Linked DNA regions of Caenorhabditis elegans. The protein of the gene in region 1 interacts with the protein of each later gene in a pairwise test. Each region holds a gene or a part of one and is shown on either strand. Other genes may lie near its edges. The genes, in order: arrd-24 and bra-2.

Region 1 (3,859 bases):
CGTTTAATACATATGTAGTACCGAAAAAGGGTCAGGCCGAAGACATCCTAAGACTAAACAATTAGCATACAATCATAAAAAAGTTAATATAAATTAAACATTACGATGTATAAATTTAAAAAGCAATTTTCAGCATCGAATTGACAAGGATGAACTAAAAGTTGAGGAATATCTCGAGAAGTATCTAGAGATTAAAACCAGAAATCGCATGGAACAATTGGACATTGTTCAAGCCAGAATTGTAAGAGAGATGAAGGCTGTAGCAATTGCTCAGGGAAAATCAGAAGAGGAGGTTGAGCACATTCTGGCAAAGCAAGGACGTAAAGCTCGTCGAATGCAAAGATCTGAATACAAACACGCAGAGGAAGACAATAAAGGTGTTCGCCAAAGACTTGCCGCCAAACTTGTGGCCAAGAAATCGGAAATTATTGAGCGTTTCTGCCTTGCTCAACGTACTGTCTTTGTTAAAGCAGATTGTCCAAATGTCTATGGCCGGACAACCACTCACATTTCCTATCTTTTAGAATAAGTTGCTGTCGTCGTTGCACTGTTATCTTGTTTCACTACTGCACAAAAAGTGGCTCACAAAAAAATCCTGTAAAATTGTCTATAAAAATTCACCGTCAATCTCGAATATCACTACTCCTCATATTATTTTCTGAAATGTTTTTTTTTAAACTTATCTGTTGATTGTAATAAACTTGTAATTTACAATTCATCCTTATAGTTTTTTGAATCTACCCTACCTTATTTTTTGCCAAATGAATATTTTTGAAACTCAATGTTTAGCAATAGAGAAAGAAAATTGATTGACTAATGTAAATGGCCAGAATTTTATTAATTCACAATTATACAAGAAAAAATAAAATAAAATACCCAATTAAATTTTAGTTACACACATTGATTCCTCATAAGACGGCGGTAGAGCGGATGTTCCCGCTGTATCATCGGTCGGAGCACTTGGAACCACAGTTGAATAGGCTGGAGGTTAGGAATCCAGCCGCTCAAGGACAGGTGGATCAGACGGAAAGGTAGTTACCGTTGGCTCCACGATCGATTCAGTTATTGGCACTGTGCCGATGATGATATCAAACTCGCAGTGCAATGTATTATTAAGGGTTGTTAAAGTGTCCAACCTCACAGAAAGACAATACTCAATGCTGATAATGGGACTTGTAAATGTTGGTGGCGACTTTGGGATTTTCATCCGCAGCATTTCACGGCCAGCGGTTTTTGGAGCAATTTTTATGCTTTTTCGAGCTTCTGCAATACGTTTGCTTTCATCCTTGTGATGTTCGTGGTAAGACGAATGAGTGCATAAGAGGCCATGGTTTTTGCTAGCATTGTAATGCGAGTGCTGATGAAGTTCAGCTCGCACAAACGTTGCTGCACGTTTGGAAGCATTGTCAATGTCGATTGTGATTGGCAGGTATTCTCCAGGAGCATATCCTGCTTTGGGGATAGTTACCTGAAAGCATTAAATAACCTATCAATGTAGCAGCGTTGTACTCACAGTTATTGTTACTATTCCTTTTTTAAATATTTGCCCAATGTCCTTCACATCCTTCATCATTCTAGGAACATTTCCCAACGGAAGATGATTCAAGTCAAAGTTGGGAATAACTGAAAAATAACTTTTTGCGCACATTAACAATTTTCGAAATACCTTTGAAGTCTTCCCTTTCGTTTTTGTTGAACTTCCATGGTCTGTCAAGCTCAACTCGCACGGAATAACGAACGTGGCCGTGGAAACCTTCAAAACTAGGTGGACATTCTATCGGGAGTGGAAATGCAAACGGGAAGACATGGTGGCCAGATGGAAGTTTTTCCTGTAACAATATTGTAGTTTGTTATCAGTTAAATGCATGAAACTAAATACTCAAGATCGTCTTTTGTACATTACACTTCCAATTTAAGACTTACAGTTCCATTTCTTGCACTCCATGCAATCGTTTCTCCAGAGACGTAGTCAACTTCTGCAGAGTAGTGCACAATTTCAGTATAACTTTCCTCTTTTCCTTCACAATTACTAAACTCTTGTATGTCATTAGGTCTAGATGTCTTGGAGCTTACGTTCTGTATCGTCGTTCCCCTTCACTCCACTTCGTATGCGCAGCACCGTGAATACAGATTTTCAAGAATCGGGCAGTGATTGGCTCGTTGGATCTCAAAACAACCTGCCCAGTAACAGTTTGACCTGGTGCATAACCTCTCGGGCTATCGAACACAATTCCAAAGTGATCCATATGTTCCATATCTAAACTAAAAAGATACAAGGAAATTTAGAATTTTAATTAAGGAAAATGTTGTATGATTATAAAATGAATGAAAACTGATAAAATGAAGTGGTTATCAAATAAATTGCCGTTTTATAATATATTGTGACTCAAAACGCGTAATCAGGAGGTAAAATGTCGTCATCAGTCTTATACCGTGCGTTATTTGATTTTTGTGAAATCATATTTATATTATAAAACGGCAATTTATTTGATAACCACTTCATTTTATCAGTTTTCATTCATTTTATAATCATACAACATTTTCCTTAATTAAAATTCTAAATTTCCTTGTATCTTTTTAGTTTAGATATGGAACATATGGATCACTTTGGAATTGTGTTCGATAGCCCGAGAGGTTATGCACCAGGTCAAACTGTTACTGGGCAGGTTGTTTTGAGATCCAACGAGCCAATCACTGCCCGATTCTTGAAAATCTGTTTTCACGGTGCTGCGCATACGAAGTGGAGTGAAGGGGAACGACGATACAGAACGTAAGCTCCAAGACATCTAGACCTAATGACATACAAGAGTTTAGTAATTGTGAAGGAAAAGAGGAAAGTTATACTGAAATTGTGCACTACTCTGCAGAAGTTGACTACGTCTCTGGAGAAACGATTGCATGGAGTGCAAGAAATGGAACTGTAAGTCTTAAATTGGAAGTGTAATGTACAAAAGACGATCTTGAGTATTTAGTTTCATGCCTTTAACTTCACAGAATATTTTACTCTCTGGCTTCACAGAATATTTTAATCTCTGGCTTCACCGTATATTTTACTCTCTGGCTTCACAGAATATTTTACTCTCTGGCTTCGCAGAATATTTTACTCTCTGGCTTCACCGTATATTTTACTCTCTGGCTTCACCGTATATTTTACTCTCTGGCTTCACAGAATATTTTACTCTCTGGCTTCGCAGAATATTTTACTCTCTGGCTTCACCGTATATTTTACTCTCTGGCTTCACAGAATATTTTACTCTCTGGCTTTACAGAATATTTTACTCCCTGGCTTCACACTTTTTTGAATTTGGTTTCGAAATTCTGAAAGAACACAAAATTTGCAACAAAATGGCTACAGGATTTTTGAAAAAGTTAGTTTGACGCCAGATTCTAATTTTTGAAAATTGGAAAATCTACTAATTTTGCATGGTCGTTTTTAGTCATTCTCAAACTGTGCACTAAAAGGTATGACTGAAAATCCACTTTTTCTGCTTGAACTCCGCTAGAGGAATTTCTGTATCCGAATTATTTTTTACAGGCATATACCTTGACGAAATTACAAAAAAAAATTTTTGGAATTTTGGGAGACTTGATATGGCCCTGAATAGAAAATTTTTTTCTAAGATTATTGGTAAAGTTCGGGACCTGGAAATTAAATTTAAGCCACGCTAGAGGGGTTTCTGTATCCGAATTATTTTTTACAGGCATATACCTTGACGAAATTACAAAAAAAAAATTTTGGAATTTTGGGAGACTTGATATGGCCCTGAATAGACAATTTTTTTCTAAGATTATTGGTAAAGTTCGGGAAATATACGGTGAAGCCAGAGAGTAAAATATACGGTGAAGCCCGAGAGTAAAA
Region 2 (3,486 bases), on another chromosome or scaffold:
TTGCGAGCGATGAAGCCGTCTAGCTGAAATTTATTGACTTCCAAAAAGATTTCTTGGCAAAACACCAAAAATTTAAATTTTCAAATGGTTCTGTGAAGGAAATATGAAATAATTTGTTTTTCAGTGATTTTTCCCGAGAAAATTGAACATTTTTCGAAATTTGTCCGCATATTTAGGGTTTTTTCTCATTGAACATTTGTCATTTTTGGTTGTTTTTTCGACAATAAATCAAGAACTGTTTGATTTTCTCTGAAAAAAAAAGAGATTTACCAAGTCCGTTGCTCCGGCGACTGTAAAAAGCACGAAAGCAGGAGTAAAATTGTGTTGAACAACAAGATATCCGATGAGTGGAGTCGCCGCGATTCGTGCTGTACAAATTGCATTAGGGATAGTCGCCACTTTGTATTTGCCGCGTTCTTCCGGTGGTAGTGACTCTATTTTTGGACTTTGCTTCTGCTCCAAACTTGAAAAGTTTCGTAGCATTCGACGAGGAGTTAGCAGTAGTTGAAGCTCGCAGCGGCAAGCAATACCACGAAACATCGATGTTACTATCATTTCAACACTTCCGCAGTAACATTAGCGATTCAAATCTGAATTTCAATTCAGATCTCATATGTAAATCAAGCTTTCGCAAGTACAAAAATTCGATAAAACAGTTAGACAATCGACGGAAGTGACAACAGTCAAAAATTGTTCATTTGCCACATAAGGCGAAACCACAGAAAGTTGTCACGACATATTCGGCTAAACTAAAAATTGGTGAATACAATAAAGAAATAAATCGATCATCGAGGCAAATGAGCATTTATTTGCGATTGCGATAGCTCTGTGGTGGTCTGATGGCTTCTTCGAAGGCGAAGAGGTTAGTGTAGATGGCGGTGGCGAACTGTAAAATGTTGAATTATTGAAAAAAAAAACCCCGCGACCTAGTAAATTTTTGTTTGTTTATGGAAATCCATCCTGAATCTCACTAGCAATCGTTAATGTTAATAAAAAAATATAGTAAAATACCAACCGACGAAGCGAAGAAAACCGCTGACACTGCAAGATAGGTGTTGAACTTTCCCTGGAGCTCGCCGTAGACCTTCTTGTAAGATTGGAATGGCACTGGCATCAAGTCGAAGGTGCATGGTGGTCCCGGGTTGGCGACCTGAATAAATACGCTGCTACATTGAACCGAACAATAAACAATACGTGATGTCCGTGCCCGTGACGCTTTTGTGCAAAACGACTAAGAGCCAAGAAGCGGTTGAAAGCGGTACGGTTCATCCTGAAAACAATAATTTATTTTCGAAAGTACCAAAAATTATTGTAGATGGAAAGTTGATTAAGAAAAAAGTCTGCAAACCTCAATTTATGCTAGAAAGCAGTATATTTCGAAAACCTATGTTAATGGGGTTATTCAAGTAGTGTCGGAAAATTAAAAAGTGTAGAAAAATTACGTCACAACTGTATTCAAGTATATAAAAACATGTATTTAAATACATTTGTGACGTCACAAATGTATTTAAATACATTTTGCTACATTACTTGAATAATGATTCTATGCGCAAAAATGCCGAAATGTCTATTTTAATATATTACGAGTAATTATTTTACTTAAACCACCACGGAAAAATAAGAATAATCGATAAAATAACTTTTAAAATAGGAGAGAAAACGAGCGGGCGGCCTTGAATCGATTACGCTAAACAACATGCGCACCGTTATAACGGAGTGTCGTTGACAAATATTTGTTTCTTTCTCTGTTGCGCGTACGGTAGCTCTTTGTTATTCGTTTTTCTTGCTGTGATTCAGATTTTTAAAGTGTTTTTTTGATAAAAATAATTTCAACAGTCAATTCATGTTCTTTTATACGTATTAACTGATTTATATTCTTGATAACGCCTTGAAAACTACTCTGAATACTGTAGAACGTTCTATCGATTTTTCACAACAATTTTTTCAGTTAAACCCGTGCAAAAGATGGCCGATGGGCAAGTGCATGATGAATTGATGATGGATCAGCAACAACAGCAAGGAGTGGTTCCTCAACAAGGTGATATTCACCTATCGCCGATCGACAAGGATCTCGGAGATGCGGCGTTAGAAAATAATGTGCGGCAGGTCAGTTTTCAATGAAATTCCTGTCGAAAAATCGATTATTTTCAGTATCATCTCGATGGAGTGGTCGTCAGTGAAGGGATGAAACGAATGATAATCGACCTGCAACGTCATTGGCTCAGTGAGTATCACGCGTCACGTGAGAAGTGTCTTGTAGAGCTTACCGAGAAGTTGCATCAAGAATTCATGATGGATCAACAGAAAATTCGATCGGAACTCTTACAACAGTTCAAAGACGAGTTGGAACAGACAAGAGCCGATCTAGAAAACAAACACAGAGAGAACTTGAAGATGGAAAGTGCAAAGTTGAATGAAAAGCATAAAAGAGAGTTGGTTGCATCAAGAAAGAAACAATGGTGCTGGTCGTGTGATAATGAGGTGAGTATATTTGATTCCATCTATGAAAGCAATGATATTATCCAAATCTCAGGCTATATACCATTGCTGCTGGAATACCGCATATTGCAGTGTTGAATGCCAACAGGGACATTGGCAGACTCATCGAAAGTTTTGCCGCAGAAAGAAAGGAAACAATGCTCCTGGAGCACCAAGTGTACCAGCTCCTCAACAAGTCGGAGCACCAATGCCGCCACAACAACAATAATTTTCTTTCGTTTTAACTCTCTAATCATCATTATCATCAATCTCACGTCAGAACACGAAACTGAATAAATTTCAACCACCCACCACCGCACAAATGCGACGCTGATCTCACCCACCACGTCTATTTATATTCCAAATCCTAATGAGTTTCTGTTATTCTTCATCTTTATCAATTTGTCGAACTTTCTATGTTTTCCTTGTTCAATAAAAAATTTAATTAAATTGATTTATGGATATCGTGTTAACAGATATCGAGTTAACACACGCGTCTTCATCTGCGGAAAACTTCTTTTCTAGGCCTATTAGGAAAAATGTGTGCCAAAAGTCAGAAGAAAAGTTTAGAAATGTGGAAATTCTAAAAAAAATTTTTTTCAGTATGGGTATTAGCCCAAACAATGCAAATTTTCTAAAAACACTTGTAACTTGAATAATATTGCAGTTGGAGGTACATACTTGAATAACCCCATTAAAAATAAACTTAAGCATCAAAAATTTTTGGTTTTTTTGGTTTTTCGAAAAATTCAATTTTTTGTTTTTTTGGTTTTTCAAAAAAATCAATTTTTTGTTTTTTGTTTTTTGGTCTAAAATTTTTTTGGTCCCAGCCCTGCACAGTACCACTACAGTATCCCAACAGTATCCCCCACTAACTACAACTACGTCCGTAGCAAAAGAGTAAAAAGTAGTAAAAGATCTGTGTAGGCAACTCGTAGTAAAAGAGATCACGTAGTAAAAGAGCCAACTGTAGTAAAAGATCTGAATGCGGAATTCGTAGTAAAAGAG

The links.
Region 2: the proteins of arrd-24 (region 1) and bra-2 interact in a two-hybrid assay, tested with the Caenorhabditis elegans proteins (one large-scale study listed by BioGRID).

What each region holds. Positions count from the first base shown.
Region 1 is NC_003284.9:13,978,252-13,982,110, forward strand, and holds arrd-24 (Arrestin C-terminal-like domain-containing protein), read right to left. Parts: upstream 2,267-3,859; 5' UTR 2,256-2,266; coding exon 2,074-2,255; intron 2,030-2,073; coding exon 1,924-2,029; intron 1,830-1,923; coding exon 1,667-1,829; intron 1,624-1,666; coding exon 1,514-1,623; intron 1,469-1,513; coding exon 989-1,468; 3' UTR 818-988; downstream 1-817. Other genes in the region: F48F7.6 (Zf-C4pol domain-containing protein), read left to right, coding at 134-529.
Region 2 is NC_003281.10:909,313-912,798, forward strand, and holds bra-2 (MYND-type domain-containing protein), read left to right. Parts: upstream 1-1,948; 5' UTR 1,949-1,965; coding exon 1,966-2,106; intron 2,107-2,151; coding exon 2,152-2,481; intron 2,482-2,533; coding exon 2,534-2,707; 3' UTR 2,708-2,931; downstream 2,932-3,486. Other genes in the region: crls-1 (Cardiolipin synthase (CMP-forming)), read right to left, coding at 1-23, 271-555; F23H11.5 (Deltamethrin resistance protein prag01 domain-containing protein), read right to left, coding at 806-886, 1,016-1,150, 1,195-1,269.